Saccharomyces cerevisiae S288C: one gene and its partners. Changing the gene in region 1 together with any one later gene gives a genetic interaction. Each region holds a gene or a part of one and is shown on either strand. Other genes may lie near its edges.

Region 1 (8,973 bases):
CGAAAATTATTCTGTGATGAAAAAAGGACTGCCCGTCAGGTATACCTAAGTATCTTTAGAAAATATATATACTTTAAATACAGTAATTTCTTCGGACATTTTAGTTAAAAAATATTCACAGGAATATATAATGTCTTTATGCAACGATAAAAATGGCGGAAATAAACAAAGGAAGCCTATTAATTCAGTCCTTGATTAATTCCAAGTTTACTCCATTAATTGAAGGCTTAATATTTTTATTTTTAACCTGCAATTCCGCACATTTCCTTAAGTCCTGTAAGAATCCTAGACAGTTTTCGTTAATAGTTCTTGTACCCATATTATCACGAATGCATTGGTCATATTTCTTCATTGGCTCACTACATTCGCTCATGATACTTTTCACACTGGGCACTTTTTCTCTAATGCATGTAGATAATATCATTCTTCCATCTTTACACTTCCCAGGATTTTCCTCATTATCTCTTATGCATTTATGATATTGCAGAAACTCCTGGGGGCAATTTGCCACAACATCTTCTATGACAATCTCATCCAAAATATCAGACATCTTCTTCACCTATCTTTAACTTATTAGCTCGGTGCTTACAGGAACATGTCTTTATATTAGGGAGGGACCTGCAAGTTTACTTTGAATAGTTTCTTAAGCGTAGGAAAAAAAAAAAACTCCGAACTCGGATGTGCAGCTAAAAGCATCGCTATCTCATCTCCCATTAGACCACAGACAACATAAAATTTTATCTCTTTCTCGTTCTGGGACGTAAGTACAGGTCAATGGATCCATTTTTAGAGTTCAGAGTAGGCAATATCTCATTAAATGAATTTTATAGAAGAACTATTCAAAGCGAATTTGAGAGGATCCTTGAAGATCCCCTATCAAATATGAAAAACTACAGATTTAGTAAACAATCAAACTATAGTACAAAAGAAAAAACACCGTTAAGTATAGGTGTTAACTGTCTTGATATTGATGATACTGGTCAAGTGTTATTAGGAGGTGGAGATGATGGGTCACTTTCCATTTGGGGTTTAGATGAATCATTGCACCGCAATGATGAAGGTGAACAGGAATTGATCAATAAAAGGCTAAACTATATCAAGCGACAGCCTCACCAATCAGATGATGAGCCTGCTCAAATAATGGGTTATAAAAATAAAAGAACACGAATAAACGACAACAACACTATGAGACTGGTGCACAGTTTTCAAACACAGAGAAACAAATATCGAATGTATAGACAGTCTAGTGCTGCAGTTCCAGTTCAAAGATCACACATATCAAATAAAACGGATTCTCCTATCGGGTTTAGTGAGACACTATCTGAAACAGATTCAGAAGCTTCCATATCTCACCATAAATATGGTATAACAACTTTGAAGTGGTATAAGGCTGATAATGGGATGTTTTTTACTGGCTCAAATGATAAAACTGTAAAAATATGGGACACAAACAGGTTTGAAGCGGTTCAAGATATAAACCTGGGGTATAAAATAAATCAAATTGATAATAACGTTGTCGACGACAGTTCTTTGCTTGTAGTGGCAAGTGAAGACTACTATCCAAGATTAATTGACCTGAGAACCATGAATTCAGGGGTAACTGCGCTTGGAATGGGAAATCAAACACGAATGCAATCAGAAATTTTATGCTGCAAATTTAACCCCGTCAGGGAACAGATTATTGCTTGTGGTGACATGGAGGGTGGGGTAAAATTATGGGATCTAAGAATGAGGAACAGACTGTATTCAGAATTGAAAAGAAATAAAAATAGGTTCAAGACTATAAATAACGATGATAATGACGATCAAAGCGATGTCTATTTCAGCTCTAACCAATCAAAAGCCCATCTGAGATGTTGCAGTGACATTGTTTGGAATAGTGAGGGTTCAGAGCTATGTTCAGTCGGCATGGATGGAAAACTGAATGTTTGGAGGCCATTTACGGAAATTCTGCAACCAGAAGGTCTAGCTAGTTATTCCCAGTTGGGAACACAAGACCTGAGCCGTATCAAATACAAAAAAAGAGTATCTCGAAGGTTGCTTTGGTTTGACAAGTTTTTACTGTGTATTACTGACAATGGTGAAGTAGAAATATACAATACGGAGGAAAAAAAACTTTGGAACAAGCTCGAATACCCAATGGTTAATCAGGTAAAAAAAAATCAGGCTTCGCATTGTCAGTTTAGTTCCATGATTGTGCAAACAAATATAATGAATTCAGTTGGCCTCAAATTGTTCTTTGGAACTAACAACAACACCGTTAGCGACGGCGGATCCATCTTTGAATGTTCATAAGTAATAAATGCCGTATAGAATATGATAATAGTCTTCGCGGCTCTTATAATTGAACCAATGTAGGTTTGTATTACCCGGAAACGTATATCGCTACACACGAATATACAACTAATAGCTATATACAAATGCTTTCATCTCAGACTTGGCAGGTATATTTTACCAAGCCGCTTCACCTCTTATCCTCCACTTCATGCATACTTTTCAATAGAGAGCATTTCTTACCACCTCACCTTAGTTTCAGCTGTAGCCTCTTTTCTGACATAATATTGGTAAGTCGGGTTAACCAATTCCGGGCCGAAAGCTTTTTTTATTCACTCTATTTTTGTTTGCATTTAAACTCACAGTGGATATTGAAGGAAGGAATCAGCCCTGAGATTGTGTGACAAGCCTTTTGCAAGACAGAACAGGAGAACAAGAAGCCATAAAAGAAGAATAGACAAATATAAATACTTTTGTTTGAATACCCCTATCAGGTCTTTTAAGGAATAAAAAAGGAGAAAACAGGAGAATATACCATATAGGAGACGCGATTTCAAACGAAAGCTTGAGAAAGGGTTATCGCTGAAATTTAAATAGAAAGAGAAAATATCACAACTAGAGTTAGTATTCTTTTTATCGTTCATCAGCTCTATCAAGATATAATATTTGCTCATCTTTATCTCTCTTATTTTTTTAACACCACCTCCTGAAAGAGAACTAATTGGTATACTAGTTTTACGAGGGCTAGCTTTTGGCTGTTATACGTATAACCACACACCTGGTGTTCTGTACGAACGTTGAAAAGTCAAAGCAAGGGGGAAAAGATAATATCCTTGAAGATTATAAATCCTAAAGCAAGCATATTGACGAAGACGAGATAAGAAAAATCCAAAAATGTCAACAAATCTAGCAAATTACTTCGCCGGTAAGAAAGATATTGAAAACGAGCATGTAAATAGAAATGCGAGCCATGAAAGTAATAGCAAAAGTGATGTCAAAATTAGTGGTAACGATAACGACAACGACGAAGATATGGGGCCTTCAGTATCGATGGCTGTTCAAGCGAAAAATGATGATGATTTCCATAAATCAACTTTCAACCTTAAAAGAACAAGATCAATGGGCCTTCTTGATGAATATATTGACCCTACCAAGAAATTGCTAGGAAGGTCAGACGACTTATATGATAACGACAATGAATATTATGACAACTCATCTAATAATTCTTCAAGCAATTCTTCAGATGATGATTATGATGACGGCTATCAGGAACACTCAACCTCCGTTTCTCCACCGCCGGCGGATAATGATAGCTACTTAATTCCACAAGATGATAATGACGTAGTGGTAGAGCCAGAAAGACATGTTGACTATCTGTCACATGAATGGAAAGAATCAGAAATTTCTAATTCTTGGAAATATATCATCCTAAAGAAAAAGAAAAGAGATGTTGATCTAGTAAATGCTGCTAGGTTAGAAAATGCCTCATGGAGAACATGGGCAAAAGCAAGAAACAACTTGAAAACAGTGTCACCTGAAGTGGTTAATTGGTCAAAAGATTCTGATGTGACTTGGCTATATGGCCCTATTGTAAGAGATTCTGAAGGTAATGCCCAAAGTGAAGAAGAACATGATCTAGAAAGAGGATATGGTTCGGATGATGAAAATTCCAAGAGAATTTCAATGCCCACTAAAAATTCAAAGTCGATCGCAGCTGCTCCGAAACCAATTTTGAAGAAGAGAACCGTCACAGAAATTATAGAGGACAACGCTTTATGGAAACTGAATGAGGCAAGAAAACACATGACAGAAATGAAACATGCTTCGGTAATAATGGATCCCAATGGCAACAAAAACGTCCATGACGATTTCGATGCTCTGGCCGCTCAAGTTAACGCCCAGTACTACCATTATCCCAAAGAATCGAACAGTAGCGTTAGTTTGAAGAGTCAACACTCTGACAAAAAAGATAATTCTACCATACCGAATCCTGTAGGAGAAAATTCAAATGGTGGCGGTGACAAGGGAGAAGAAGACCTGCATTTAAAGTCAGCGCTTCATGTTCAAAACAATAGGTCAACGGCACAATCAAACAAAAGCATACTAGAAAATAGTACCAATGATCGTAAGGCTAACTTGGATCAAAACCTAAATTCTCCTGATAATAATAGGTTCCCCTCCTCAACATCTTCCTCCAATAGAGATAATGAAAACAATTCCATGGGATTATCATCAATATTAACCTCAAACCCAAGTGAAAAATCTAACAAACCTACTAAAAATAGACATATACATTTTAATGACAGGGTGGAACAATGTATGGCACTACGATATCCAGCTTCACAATCGGAGGATGATGAAAGCGATGATGAAAATAAACAATATGTTGATGTTAATAACAATGCGAACGTTACAACAATAAACAACAATAGGACTCCATTGCTAGCCATTCAGCATAAATCTATTCCTATCAACTCCGCAACTGAACATTTGAACAAAAATACTAGCGACGATGATACATCCTCACAATCATCATCTTCATCACATTCTGATGATGAAGAACACGGCGGCCTTTACATAAATGCAAGATTTTCCAGGAGGTCTGACTCTGGAGTTCATTCACCAATAACAGATAATTCCTCTGTGGCTTCATCTACTACTTCCAGAGCTCATGTACGTCCCATAATAAAGTTGCTTCCTGATACCACTTTGAATTATGGATCAGACGAAGAATCTGATAATGGCGAATTTAATGGGTATGGTAATGCTGTGTCACATAACGTCAATACCTCCAGAGGCTATGATTACATATACGATTATAACTCGGTCTACACTGGTGATACTTCCAGTTTTTTACCAGTAGATTCATGTGACATTGTAGATGTTCCTGAAGGAATGGACTTACAAACAGCCATTGCAGATGATAATGCATCAAACTATGAATTTAACAATGCGGTAGAATCCAAGGAAAAACATGTTCCACAACTACACAAAGCTTCAGCAAATAATACAACACGTCAACATGGATCGCATATGTTATTATATGACGACGACAATTACAGCTCTTCATCAGATAGCGAACAGCAATTTATTGAAGACTCACAATACAATAGTAGCGACGACGAAGAGGAAGAAGATGACGATGACCAAGAAGTAGACGATAACCACGATGAAGGACTTTCACTGAGGAGAACATTGTCACTTGGGAAATCAGGATCTACCAATTCTTTGTACGATCTAGCACAACCATCACTCTCTTCGGCAACTCCTCAACAAAAAAATCCTACTAATTTTACAGGGGGTAAAACTGATGTAGACAAAGATGCACAACTGGCTGTCAGGCCGTATCCGTTGAAGCGCAATTCCTCTTCAGGGAACTTCATATTCAATTCAGATAGTGAAGAAGAGAGTAGCAGCGAGGAGGAACAAAGACCATTACCCGCTAACAGTCAGCTGGTTAATCGAAGCGTATTGAAAGGCAGTGTGACACCAGCAAACATATCATCTCAGAAGAAAAAAGCCCTTCCAAAGCAGCCAAAAGCGTCCGATAGTTCACAAAGCTTTAGAATTGTAAATAATACTCCTTCACCAGCCGAAGTGGGGGCGAGTGATGTTGCCATAGAGGGTTATTTCTCTCCTAGAAATGAATCTATCAAGTCTGTTGTTTCCGGGGGAAATATGATGGACCATCAAGATCACTCAGAAATGGACACTTTGGCAAAAGGATTTGAAAACTGCCATATAAATAATGCTAGTAAGCTAAAGGACAAGAAAGTTGATAGCGTGCAAACCACTAGAAAAGAAGCGTCTTTGACGGATTCGAGTAATGAAAGCTTACACAAAGTGGTGCAGAATGCAAGAGGTATGGCAAGCAAGTACTTGCACTCTTGGAAAAAGAGTGACGTCAAGCCACAAGAAAATGGAAATGACAGCAGTTAGAAGAAAGAATTTTGAAGTCAACATGAAGAGAAAATAAAAATCCAGGTAGTGTGGATCAGTGCCGTCTTTAGGATCCAAGTAAGCTGTAATCGACTGGCATTGTCAAGGACAAATGTAGACAGCGAAGCAGTTATTTTACGTACACAATTAAATTCGCTCCAGATTTCAAAACTTCTTTATACCTTTACAATATTTGGTACTTATGTACAAGAACTTCTTGAGCTTCCATAGTCGTATGTGTGTTCTATATATTAGCAATTAAACGCAGCTGATCTAAGATATGTTCGTGGGTAATGATTTTCAGATAGAGTACAATCAATGTTTTCTTCGATCTTTAAAGGGTTTTTCCTTTATAAAGAAGACACCACACAACAGTCTAGAAAGTAAACAAAACAAACTACGACACGGCTTGTTTTAGGCACAACTTTGTTTTAGGCAGAGCTTACAGTAATTGGCAGTATTGATATCCTAAAGCAGTATTAAAACAATTTAAAGGTTTGGTGAGGTATCTGGCCAATGTCAATAAGCGAAACACCTCATAATAAAAGCCAGGGACTGCAAAAAGCGGCTGGTCGTCCTAAAATTGTTGTTCCTGAGGGATCGCCTTCTCGTAATAGTGATAGTGGCTCTTTTACTATAGAGGGTGATACTTCCCTTAATGACGACTTGTTAAGTATATCTGGCAGTGTCACACCAAGAGCGAGAAGATCTTCGAGATTAAGTCTGGATTCAATAACGCCGCGAAGAAGTTTTGATTCTAGGACACTATCTGTTGCAAATAGTAGATCATTCGGTTTTGAAAATGAAACACATAGTGGGTCCATGGACTTTTCGCCATTGGGAAATAACTCCATCTATGAAATTGTGATGAACACAAGGAGGAAAAACTGGCTCAATTACCCCACTGTTGCTGATATTCCACAAGTTAGCCTAAGCAAAAATGATCTGGATGACCATTGGAAAACTCATGTTATCGAATACGTCAAAAACATTAAAAGTGATTACCAAATATTTCAAAGCACAAATAATATAAGAAACATGAATCAGATGGAACAGTTAAAAGAACTGCGAGAAGGGGAAAATATGCATGAGGAGTCGTTTGAAGCAAATCTGAGGCAAGGGGATGCCGAGCTAATAAATAGTATACCTGACTTTTACTTTTCAGACAAATTTCAATTAGATAACCCTCGAACTTTTCATAAAGTGTTGGACGCTATCGATTTATTTTTAACGAAACTAGACATGAAGAGACAAGCGGAAAGGGATGAGGCTTTTTCTGAGTTGAGGGACAGGCTAAACGATTTTTTGGATATCGTAGAAACATTACTGGTTACAGAGATATCCAAATCCTCACACAAATTTTTTCATGCGCTAAGTGAAGTTGACAATATTCAGAAAAGAGCCTTGGACACAATGAGCGAGCTTAAGGAGCTAGCACAGAATATCAAGACCATTGACGCAGAGAATATAAGAAAAAAAATTTCACATTTAGAAATGATTTTTAAGAGGAAGAATGTAGAGAAACTAGAACAGGGATTATTACAGGCGAAGTTAGTGCTGAACAAAACAGATGAGTGTAAGTCAATGTATGAGGAGAACAAGTTGGATAACTGCTTAGAGCTGATAAAATCCATCGATTATCTGATTAAGGGGGATGATTCAATAAACGAAGATGTTCAGAGTTGGACTAGGTGTTGGCCCTATAAATTAAGCAATTTGAGGACGATACCTGCTTTGTCAGCAACGAGAGAGTTTTTAACCAATATGAAGATTGAAATAGGAGGAAAGTTCAGCCTACAATTATCGATTTTACTAATAGATGATTTAAGATCCTTTTGCAAATCAATCAAACCAAAGGAAACACTACATAGGATACAAACGGGATCTAATGATAAAAAGCAAACTATATTTACTGATAATTTTTCTTCAAAGATAACCGAATTAATAGTCAGATTGAATAGATGCGAAGAATTAACGAGTGCCTTTGACCTATACAGGGAAAAATCTATCACTGAGCTTAAATCTATCATAAAAATTTATTTGCCAACAGAGAATGCACACGCTGACAATAACCACGATGAAAAACATCTTAACAATGGCTCTACTAGTGGGTCTAAACTTTCAAGATTAATAAAGGAGCAAACTCCTGCAGAATTTCAGTCCATGCTAGTAAACATATTCACGCACGCGCTCGAAGCTCTTCGAAGACTTTATGGGCATCAAAAGTTGCTTCTAGATATCTCTCTTAACGAGCTAGCATCTGTTAAAAGTCCAAACGAAAACCAGCACAACATGATTACGCAATTGGATATACGTACTGGCATCAACGAAATAATCAGAATTATTCAGTTACGTACAGGCAAGATCATTGCCGTAAGAAGAGAATTGAACTTATCTCTACGGTATGATTATTTCTTGAAATTTTATGCTATATGCGTTATTTTTATTCAAGAATGTGAAGTATTAAGTGGTGAATTTTTAACGAAATATTTAAGTAATGTTTTAGCATCTCAGATCAAGCATTATGCAAACGCACAAAGTTCAAAAAATTACCGCAACATAAAGAAAAAGATTGATGCTGAAGAATGGATTCCATATATTGTGGACTCCTCTATTCAGAGCGATGTTAACGACATTGTGTCAAGTATAGACATAGACCCATTGAGTTGGACAACTATTTTAGACATGGTAGGGGGTTCTCATGATTGCGAAAATGGCAGAAGCGAGGACAAGGAAAAAGATGAAGGAAATGAAACATAT
Region 2 (5,440 bases), on another chromosome or scaffold:
TCCTAAGCAGAACATGACTAAATCGCCATAAATTAACAATATAGTGGGAATAAGGCACACCAGAAGTGCCACGATATAGTATATATACAATGATAAATGAGTACGTTGCCAGAAAGGTCGCTCTAAAGGACATGCAACCATGTGCGATCTGTAGCAAACCATCCACTACCGTCCTTTACAACGCATCTGGTCCAGATTGGCTATATACATGCGAAATACATTTACAAGATAATCCACAATTTGTCATTCCCCTCTATAGTACAGAGTATAATGAAGCCGTGGCTCAATTAAAACTAGTAAAGGGGAAAATGGATAGTCTGACATCAGCTCAAACCCAATTAGGGTCCTGGGATGGTTGGGTTACTAAAATATTCTCCAAGAAAGAAAAGGAGACAAATAACTCTAAAGACCCTGATCCAACTACAACCGACTCTACTGATACATCTCCACAGGCTAAGAACGATGCAGAAATCTTGTCAGAAACAAAGAAACAGTACAGCAAAATACTTGACAAAGTTACAGAACTGCAAAGGAAAAACAGAAAATACGAACTAGCAAAAATCATGTTTGAAAGCAGACTCCTAAGAAAAAGAACAGAACAAGTAAATCGCGAACGATACCTCAAGGAGCAAGAGAATTACTCTAATACGGATCCTGAAGAACTGCTTCGAAAACACGTGTTCCCCTCCGTTCCAAAATAAGGACGCAACGGTTGGACCGTTCCTCTTCCTATGGCCTAATACCCATGAACTATTGATTATATAGTATATAAAACTCACCATGGATTATCTATTCATGGTTCGTAACCAAAAGCTAAATGCTCATCACATTCTAAAGATCACAAAATAAAATCAACACGTATCAAGCGACTAAATTGTAGCTAATTTTTTTCTTTCTTTCCAGGGAAGGCAGAAAGTGTGAGTGATGTTTGTATTTCTGACAAGCTGTTGAGAGCAGGCAAATGGTGCTTCATCAAGTTAAATAATCATCGTTGAACGACTTCAAATTAACAGCGGCTTGTTCCTTCGTTCCCTTCATATTCATCACTGAGCGTAGAAAGCTAACGTATTACTCTTTTTTTTGGAAAGGGAGTCAATTGACGCTTAAAGACTAGTCATTTTGTTTAGAAAAAGTCTTATATTTATTTCTGCAGGTGGCAACATACTAGCATATGGAAAAAGTTTAGGTAACGAATTTTGATCAAACTAAATCTCACTTCTGAACTGACTACATATTCTTTATTTAAGGAGTTGACATTTTTCATTTATCCAGTCACAATTTTAAAAGCACTTCGTTAACACGTTTGGTTGTCCTTATTTTTGCATTGTGATTATATCAGGCGGCATTAAGTGAAGTATACCTTGTGACCTGAAGATTTACTTTGGAAAGTAATTGATGTTTTAAGACAGTACCGGTTTCCTTTTTTTTTATTTGGATTTTTTGTCAGTAAGAATTTGTAATTATAGATTAAGATAAAACGAAAAGAAGCATATTAATAAGGAGTTTTGAACATGGATAGGAGTGATAAAAAAGTTAACGTCGAAGAGGTCAATGTACCTTCAAACTTACAAATAGAATTAGAAAAATCAGGCACCAGTAGCAGTGTATCACTCCGAAGCCCGACTAAGAGTAGCGCTACCAATTTGGCGGGCATGGCCGAAGGTGCAAGAGATAATGCATCAATAGCGTCTTCATCGGTAGATTCCCTCAACATGCTATTAGAGCGGCAAAGAGTAAGGCAGTTAAACCATCCACAGCACCAACAGCATATAAGTAGTTCACTAGCTAAGACCCCGACAACGACTTCATCATTTTGTTCGAGCGGGAGTTCTAAGAATAAAGTTAAGGAAACTAATCGAATATCTCTAACATACGACCCGGTGTCAAAGAGGAAAGTTTTAAACACTTATGAGATCATCAAAGAATTAGGCCATGGACAACATGGAAAAGTAAAATTAGCAAGAGATATATTGAGTAAGCAATTAGTAGCGATTAAAATAGTGGATAGACATGAAAAGAAACAGAGGAAGTTTTTCACGTTTATCAAATCAAGTAAAATATCCGAAAATGATAAAATAAAACGAGAAATTGCCATTATGAAAAAATGCCATCACAAACATGTCGTACAACTGATAGAAGTTCTGGATGATTTAAAATCAAGAAAAATTTATTTAGTTCTAGAGTATTGTTCTCGAGGCGAGGTAAAATGGTGTCCACCGGATTGTATGGAATCAGATGCTAAGGGTCCCTCTTTACTAAGTTTTCAAGAAACGCGAGAGATTTTAAGAGGCGTTGTGCTCGGCTTAGAATATCTCCATTACCAAGGAATCATTCACCGAGATATTAAGCCTGCCAACTTATTAATATCAGGAGATGGCACTGTTAAGATTTCCGATTTTGGTGTTTCTTTAGCTGCTAGCAGCACGAATAGTTCCGATAGTAGCGAATCCTTAGACGAGTTAGAATTAGCCAAAACAGTGGGCACGCCTGCATTTTTTGCTCCCGAAATGTGCTTGGGTGAAGATGCATTCACCAGGTATAACTTAACAAAGGAAAATTTATTTCGTGGTTCTTGCATCTCATTCATGATAGATATTTGGGCTGTGGGTGTGACCTTGTACTGTCTTCTTTTTGGAATGCTGCCTTTTTTTTCTGATTTTGAGCTCAAATTATTTGAAAAAATTGTAAACGACCCGTTAAAATTTCCAACATTTAAAGAAATACAGTCCAACAAAGTATCTAAAGTATCTTGTGAGGAGGAATACGAAATGGCAAAGGACCTTTTATTGAAATTGTTAGAAAAAAATCCCCAAAAAAGAATGACTATACCTGCCATTAAAAAACATCCTTTTGTTTCATGGGATTTTGACCACGTACCGGAGAACGATGAAAAGTTACTATCTTCTGTCCTTGAGCAAAAATTACGTTTCCAATGTAACCAAACTGATCAATTTGAACCCATTTCTATTTCAAAGCACGAATTGAAAAACGCTGTCTCCGGTGTCGGGAAAAAAATCAAAGAGTCCGTACTAAAAAGTATCCCGCTAAAGGATCCGTCAGATCTCTCTAATAAAAACTACCTTCATCCAACGGAAACCACTAGGGGCAGAGGGGATGCCAATGTTATTGTCAGCGAAGGTTCAGTGTTATCGAATATTAAGGAATTAAGTGCTAATGATGGATGTTTGAACACTGATAGCGACACTAATATTAATATCAACGACGATGATCATTATAGTGGTGATGATAACGATGGACATTTAACGAAAAGAGAACTAGAACGAGAATTAAACAAATTCGATGATAAACACGAGGCCGGAAATATGGTTAATTTACCTATCAATTCCTCATTTGCATCCTTGGACAGCTTCTACATAGATAATTTTGCGATGGCTAGAATGGGAATGAGTTCTCCAGAAGCGGGAGATTCGGTTTCGTCTGTACCAAACCTTCCTTCTGCACCGTCTTCAACAAGGCTTGGACGATCACCAGTCTTTAGTGGAGTCACCAACCAACCAAGTCCAATTCGCCCCGTTTTGCCACAACAAAAGTCATCGTTTTGTGCAACAGGTCGGTATGATAAGAGTCACAATAGTCTTCTTAGAAATTCTTCATCTCATCTAACGTCATACAACTCCGGCAGACCATCTTCAAGGACTGGCCGAATGAATTCACGCAACCAAAACTTACCGAAAATACCAAATAGCCTTTCAAAAATCTCAACAACGAAATTGACTGAACTAAGAGTTCCAAAGGATTCAGAAATTCCATCACCTGCAAAAAACCCTAACGCTGATCGTTTGAGAAGGTTTCCCGTAAAGAAAAATACCAAAACACCCGCCATAAAAGATCCTCCGAGAATAAACATTAATAGCAGCGATAAGTCAGGCTCCAAAAATTCTCCTATAAAATCCTTATACCAACGGATGAAACAGTCTAAGGATAATTCAAAAACCTTCGAGGTACGTAGAGGAAACTTTTTCAGTCATTTTAATGGAGATGATGATGATAGCAGTAGCCAGTCGTCCGTAACCAGTTCTGGTTCAGAATCTGATTCTGAATTATCATCCACTTCATCGTCCTGTACATCTGGAACCCAATCTCGGAATAGCTCCAACAATAATGCATATTCAGAAACGGAGTCATTACCTTTCGAGTTTGGTGTTGATTCAGAAGATGGAAGTGGAGTATTATTAAGAGATTTACCTAACGAAGATCAAATAAGGCCGTTTCTGGATATACAACCATGTCGACGCATGAAAGTTAAAAGTTCATTGAACCTCGAACCACCTTCTGTCTCATCTTCTTCATCTTCATCCTCCGACGAAGATGAGCTAATTTTAAATGTCGGGACTGCAGGTCATCGAAGAAGGCATAATTCTTCAAAACTTAGTGAACTATCCAATAGTCCGCAGAAGGGATCAAATAATTTCATGTATTCCAATGGAAGTGTTCATGACAGTGAGACGACGATAACGCCGCAAAATATGGATGACTTGACGCTGCATCAGGCACTGAGCCGCAGCCAACCCATTAGTAAGCCTGGCCCATTAGTATTACCAAAGCGTTTAGACCAAAAGAAAGCTACGACGGAAACCTCAAATTTAACAGATATCGTTGAATTTAACGGTAATAACGATCATCGAAAGGACAAAAATTTCGATAAAGTTCTTTATTCAAGGGACTTGTTAAAAGATGCTCTAAGTTCCACTAATGCAGGCAGAAGGAGATCCATACCTTCAAATAAAATAAGAGGACGAAAGGACGCAAGTATTACCATGAGTACTAATGTTGGTAATGATGAACATGCTAGAAATACCAGCTGCCATGGTGATAAAGGACAAGAAAATGGCGCTATAAAACAAAGGACCCATGAAAGATCGCGATCTTTAACAGTCGCTGAACTAAATGAAGAGAAGAGAAGGAGTGCACTTCCATGAGTGTAAAATTCAAAGTAATTTCCATCGGACTACGATGTTAATCAGATATATGGTAGAAAGCTCTAACTTTTTACCCTTGCCAACATGCACGCATATATGTGTATGTTAAAATAAGTTCTGTATTTGAAATGCATGTGATTTACAATCCTCTTGCAATGAACTTAATATCATTAACAGGCTAAAAATAATATATGATGTAGATCTTTTTAGTTTAGCATAATATAATCTATAAATCTATAATATTTTTATTCTAAATTATTAAAAGGGCGGCGAGAGAAGTGTATCTGTGCTTAGAAAACTTTTCGTTTCTTCGTCTCACCCTGAGAAGTGCCTTTTCGTTTCAAAATCATTACTGGTGAGTGTCATTAAACTTTTTCAATTTGCAATTTCCGTATCTTTAAAATTTCATAAGGAAGCGTGAGTTTTAACGTGCTGATTCAAATTATCGCTTCTGCTGAAGTTCTTATTACAGATATGGCATGTAAATGGTTTTTCGCACA
Region 3 (6,234 bases), 400 kb from region 1:
TAAATAAAAAAAAATTTAGAGATTCTTAATTAAGTCTAAGAACATCCTCCCACACGCCAGGAGTGGTTAATGTTCAAGATTGGTATTAGTTATACACGGTAACCAACAACGTTGGTAAGGTCTTTTTCTTCTATACATGAATTTTAAGATCAAGCATATATTTTAGGCTTGCATCTTGTAATGAACTAACTTTCATAAATAGCTTTTCTTTTTTGTATGAGGTATAAGATGAAAAATGTTAAACATGATACAGGATTTAATATAAAATGGACCAAAATAAGGAGCAATAACGAGATTCACCCCAATGGGTGAGATGAGAAACGCCAAGGTAGTGAAATATTTTTGTGCAACAATTTCAAAGATAAGATCGGTGTTCTCCCGCAGTAGTCCACTTCAGTCGCATGCATGGCTGTTTGATGAGAAATAAAATGAGATATTCAAAATCTCATCAGAAAGAGTTGAGTACTGGGACGACACATATCAGCAACGAGACATAATCGTCAACTGTTTCCCTTTAGATGATTTTCCAAAGTGTGGAAATCACTTGCCATCTTATCTAACATGTGACAATGAATGTAGTTTTCTTTAACATTGGTGAAAAATAACTTGGCAATAGTAACATATTTCAGAGATAATTGGTACTTTTCGGCAAATCCTTGCCCCTTTCCACCATTTTTATGTTTTGATGAATGATTTTCCCCGTAACGTAAAAGATTCAAAGTAGAAACAGTTTGATGCGAATCATTTAAGCCGCTGAAGTTAATACCTTCTAGGCCGGTATCCGATAGGAAATGTGCTGAACGAGGCAAGTCTGTCACTGCCCTGTCCCCATTATCAAAGGAAAATTCATTTCGAATAGGATCCTCCATATTCAAAAAAGAGGTATCGTTAAAAGAGTTAACTAGGATTTCATTAATAAACATTGCAAGCCCTTCAACATTGATCTTTTTGGCTAACTTAGTCTTAACAGCTGCACTTGCACCATTATGGTGTTCATTTGCGGATAAACCAGGGACAAGCATACCATTATCTTTATTTATAAATTGTTGCGTAAATACAACATCAGGAAATCCAGAAAACTCTTGCGGATACAATCTTGAAAGTGTGGGAAGTAAAATAGAATTCGCAAGGCTTCTCAACTCAATAAAAATTCTCAGTAACTTAAAATTTGGAGTTGCTTCAAAATCCAATAAAAATTTGATAATTAGGATGAAGCAATAGTAATAGCCTTGTAAATTGAAGACAGAAAGCGCTTGATTATTCAGGTGGATCCTTGGCAGCTCTGGAGAATTCATTCTTTGGGAGCAATCACTTTCTTCTTCTACGTATAAAGACGAAATATTACGGATTGAAAAGTTCAACGCTACTAAAAATTCACACAATACTTCAACTGAATAATTCTTCAAAAAATTCAACCTCACAGAGTTCAAAAAGGAATCATATATCTTTGCTATTTGTCCTTTTCTAACCTTCTCAGTAAACGAGCGATCAATCTGTTTGATGAATCTCATTGACATTAAATTATTTTTCAAAATTATGGTGTCATCAATTAAGATCGCAATATTTTTATTGGTTGCTGCCATATTATCATTGCCATAGGAAGAAGTGTCAAGACTCCTCTCTAGCCTTTTCGTATCGATTCGATCCAAAAACACATGTGATTTGGTTCCTTTTCTTAAATCGTATTCATAATAAATCATAGATGACCCTAAAAATTCTGGTATTGAGTGTAAGTGTCCATACGTGAAACTGTAATAAAAGTTTCTAAAATCATAAAAATTTTGCTTTTGCACAACATGCCCATTACATATTATCGATTCACTGGCCCATTTTGACTCATTGTCGGGAATATAAATGGTTTCAACATCTTTTTCCTTTATAGACAAATCGAATTTAATATGGAAGAAACATTTCAAGAACTGACAAAAATCATAAGCCATTAAGGTGCATCTAATTTTTGACTCAAAAATGATGTATTGAAGAGGAGAACCAAATGTTAAAGGTTCATTGTTATTATTGATACTCTTCTCAGAATTTGCAGAAATTGTCGGTAAACAGTTTGATCTGATCGTTGAACATAATGCGGACAATTGCCTTTTCATCAAAGAGGAGTCAATTTTCTCCAAATAATCAGCAACTAGAGCGAACATGAAGCTCAATATTAGGGATTGCATCAACCAAATGTTCTGATAACTGTCATTTACTGTTGTACTGCGACACCTTCTTTTAGTCTCCAAAAAAGAATGTAGAATTCTTCTACTCATCTCATACAATTCTATTGTTTGAGATTTGTAACCGAACTTATGCAAAGAACCAAATGTGGCCATAAATAAGGGTAAACAAACGATTTTCGAAATGGACAAGATTTGATAGTGCTCGTAATCATATTCTTTATCTGTCCCTTGACTTAATCGATCAAACAACTGCGCGTTTTCAGCGTCATCATACCCATCCTCATTAGTATATCGTTGCAAGCTATCCAAATCCAAATCAAGCAAGCTTGGGTGAATAATAGGGAAATGGGGAAGGAAATTATTCTTGAAAAGATCTAAATATTCGTTCAATTCACTCACAGCTGGCATTAACAATTCTTTGGACAGCAAGTTTGGATTAGAGTCCATGACACTCTCACTACTATCATGACTGAACTTTTCATAGTATCTAAGCACTTTAATGCACATATTTCTCATTGGTTCATTAAATAGCTTTGATTCTATGGAATGCGATGGCTGATTGTTGTTCACAGTGGAGGCCGGCAGAGCTCTTGATATTTTCGATAACGTTAAACAATCTAACCCATAAAAAGTATAGTTGCCGCTATCTGGCTTTTCTTTCCTGTTTGACGTTGATAAAAAGTCTTCCAGGGATCGTTTAGACTCTTCTCCTTTCAAATATTGACTGAATATGGCTTGAACATCTCTGGTCATATTACATAGCTTATCCAGATCATCTTCGCGATTGGAAGGATGATCGAGTCCGAAAGAAATCAACATATCGTCATTGGTCCCCTCTTTATTCTTATAAATTAACTTATGAGGAGAAATTGGAGAGTTTGATAGGTTCAAATGGGAAAGGTCAATCTCATTTGACGTGGCGGTAGCACTTACGCTATCATCATGTAAAAGTTCAAATTCTTTTAAAACGGCAGTGGTCTCTAACAAATCATTACCTAAAGTATCATTATCCAGCAGTTCTTGAAAATCGACGAAATCAGGTTGGTTGTCTGATACCTTATTGTTATTGCTATTATTATCTATAGCAACAGTCCAAGAGGAGGACCTTGAATCCTTCAAATGATGTATAGTCGATTTAAAATCTGGGACGATTAATTTAGTGTCGTTTAATTCAGAGTTCATTGGAGAAGTTTCATCACTTTCAGATACTGAAAACAAATGATCATTATAGGCTTTTATCCAGTACGACGACGACAATAAGTCTGCGTCATTAAATGAAGCGTTCTTAGAATTCGTGTTAGCGCCGACATATGCGCGGGTTGGTGAGCCGGAAGAATATGTGTAGTTATTTGCTGATTCGGGCAATTTATAATCCAAATTCATTGTTGATCCAGAAGAATCAGAACGGTTTAATGCTATATTGAAATTGGAATCTAGATTTAGGTTTAAATCTAGATTCATATTCAGGTCAAACGAAGAGTCAAGTTCAGGATTCTTCAAGTCAAGTGGAACTAATTCAGGCGTAGAAAATTTAACACGATCCTTTGGATGTTGTTCTAGCGAAGATTGGTCGGGCAAAGCATAGCTGGATGCTGATTGTGCGCTAAATGAAGCCCTGCGCGTCAGTTTTTTCAAGTACTTACGTTTAACATTAGCTTCAGGGCTTGCTTTTCTTCTTGTATTGGCAGTAGTGCGATTCAAAAAATTACCATTATCTGGAGTACCATAGGTTGGAGTTTGAAACTTGACTGAGGATGCAGAATTTTTCCGAGCTTTAGTTATAGTTCTCGACACTTTCTTGGTATGGGAAATCGTTTCCCCTAAATTACCACTATGGATTTTTTGAGCATGCCTGATCAGTAAGTCCCTCCTAGTAAAGCATCTGTTGCAGAGGCCACAGGGATAAGGTTTTTCATTTGTATGCGATCTGTAATGTCTTTTCAAGTGCTCTTGTCTTGCGAACGCTCTCGTACAAACCTCGCAAACAAATGACCTTAGTTTCCCACTGGGGGTTCTACCATTAAGCCTTAAATTTTCGGGCAACTTGTCCAGTTGCTTGTTAATCTTGGAGTTCATATTATTATTTGTGGTAATGATCTTTCCATCTGGCGTCCTCTGTATCACAGAGAAAGTGTTTGAGTTTTCTCTGGAAGCTGATGATGACATTAATAAAATCGGTGAATCATCCGTTTCCATTTCTATTTCTTGTTTCTCATTATTGAAGCCGTTAGAAAAGCACGAATTCAAGTCAACAACGGGAAAGCCTGAACAATCGTTTGGTTTTTCTACGTTAGCCATAGTAATAGAGTATGATTATTTTTTTTATATTTTTTTTTTTTGGAAAACAAAATTCTTATAGTAAAGTAAGGAATAGTAGCAGAATATTTTTCTGAAGTGTTTATAATAAAGGGAGAACCGGGAAAGTAGCAAAATGATTGGTTAATTTATGCAAATCAATCTTATACTTCCAACGAATAAGAGGGAGTATATCAAAACAGAGTAACAATAAACTTTTGCTATGACACCTTTTCTTTCTTTCAAAGATAAAAGAATAAGGCTTTTCTATAGTAGTCGAGCAAATGTTGGAATAAGGAGGTATGGAATTTTGAAAATAGCCTGAGAAATTCAGATCAATGATATATAACTGTTGTCTTCAAAAGGTCTTCAAGGGAAGAAAATTTCCGATCGGAAGTCCAGAATAAATACCACAAGTATAGCACAATAAACAACAGCACAACAACAATAATAACAACACCTGTAGCGAAAACGTTTTCCTATTTTTAAGGCGTTGTTCTTTGAAAACCTGTGGCGAAGTAAAACATGAAAACAAATGAAAACACCGCCAAACCAAGAAAAGAACAACGAAAAAATATCACTTTTATTTAGTTCACAACGGCTAACTATCGACGTTCACCCTTCCTCAGTCTATCACATCGTCCTTAGCTCGAACAACGCCGATAGGCATCAAGTTACATTGAGCTTTACTGCACGTTCCCGCATGATGCCATTGACTAGGGCCCGCCCTTTCGGCAATCATTCTAGCATGTTCCGCATGTTCCTTGACGCCATGGTCATCCTTGCCGTCGCCTCCGGCGTTTCCCTTCCCCCTCAGCTGCCAGGGCGCCGTTCACACAACGCAAGCACACCCGGCGCCAAAAAACCGGGGAAAGACCACGGCGCTATGGTTTCGGAGTTTCCCGCCAATGGCGTTATAACTCCAGTTTATTTTCCTCTTCGTTGGTAAATTCCGGGGAGGCCGTCGGCGCCGGGCCGCAAAAGTAGGACGGGCGATCGGAGCCGCGCGGATGCCGTACAGAACTACATGATGTATTGCATTCTATCTATGCCAATAGTGGTATGTAAATATTTACGCATACTTTTATTGAAACATGAGAACAATATATCTTATAATACGGCACCAAAGCCGAATGTCAATTTAATAGAACGCACGTAGTATTCTTCAAAATTAGCGCGCACGCGATCTTCCTCGCCAACGGGTATGCCAGTCCACTTCACCTGTAATTTGGTTTCATGGAATTCTTGCGACTCATGGAAAGTCATTTCGATAGTAGAGTTGAAAGGGGCAGACCAATCCTTGAGTTTCCAGTGGAAAACAAGTTTCTTGTCCTTTTCGCATGAAACCAACTCGCTGATCACGTTGCCGCCAAAGAGCTCGAATTTTTCTTTGGTCTCCAGCTTCGGTCCGCTGTTGAAAAATTGTGCTGATCTGGTCCAGGCCAATATGCGTTGCTTATCAAGGAACGTTTCGTAGAGCTCGGAGGAAGGCACATTAAAAGTTGGTTCTAAATAAATAGATGTACTATTGCCGCTTCCGTTTTGGGGGACTTTGTTGGTGCTGGAGACTGGTGCTGAAGTTGAAGTAGAAGAGGGAAGTGCATTCTTTTTTGGCTTTGAAGCGGAGTCCTTGATTTCGGTAAAGCTACTTTTTTGGTTACCTCTTGTGTAGTTAGATTTCACCTGAGATTCGGGCACCTGAATGTCATTACCATGGGTGGCCAGCAAATCCTTGCCAAATTGTTGGAAAATTTGTCTCAACTTG

What was found.
Region 2: of REG1 (region 1) and SAK1, a mutation in one rescues a mutant of the other (synthetic rescue), as found in Saccharomyces cerevisiae (4 studies listed by BioGRID, with this or other methods).
Region 3: of REG1 (region 1) and ADR1, changing one enhances a phenotype caused by changing the other (phenotypic enhancement), as found in Saccharomyces cerevisiae (2 studies listed by BioGRID).

What each region holds. Positions count from the first base shown.
Region 1 is NC_001136.10:495,075-504,047, reverse strand, and holds REG1 (protein phosphatase regulator REG1), read left to right. Parts: upstream 1-3,168; coding exon 3,169-6,213; downstream 6,214-8,973. Other genes in the region: MIX14 (Mix14p), read right to left, coding at 185-550; RAD28 (Rad28p), read left to right, coding at 775-2,295; YDR029W (uncharacterized protein), read right to left, coding at 2,634-2,948; VPS54 (Vps54p), read left to right, coding at 6,730-8,973. UniProt on the Saccharomyces cerevisiae protein: Involved in RNA processing and negative regulation of glucose repression. Regulates the level of two antigens, P43 and P70. Binds to protein phosphatase type 1. Functions with REG2 and SNF1 protein kinase to regulate growth.
Region 2 is NC_001137.3:415,770-421,209, forward strand, and holds SAK1 (serine/threonine protein kinase SAK1), read left to right. Parts: upstream 1-1,511; coding exon 1,512-4,940; downstream 4,941-5,440. Other genes in the region: VFA1 (Vfa1p), read left to right, coding at 90-701; COM2 (Com2p), read right to left, coding at 5,346-5,440. UniProt on the Saccharomyces cerevisiae protein: Serine/threonine-protein kinase that phosphorylates SNF1, the catalytic subunit of the SNF1 kinase complex. Acts as an activator of the SNF1 kinase complex and controls its nuclear localization upon glucose and nitrogen depletion.
Region 3 is NC_001136.10:893,273-899,506, reverse strand, and holds ADR1 (DNA-binding transcription factor ADR1), read right to left. Parts: upstream 4,473-6,234; coding exon 501-4,472; downstream 1-500. Other genes in the region: YDR215C (uncharacterized protein), read left to right, coding at 5,005-5,418; AHA1 (Aha1p), read right to left, coding at 5,580-6,234. UniProt on the Saccharomyces cerevisiae protein: Required for transcriptional activation of glucose-repressible alcohol dehydrogenase (ADH2).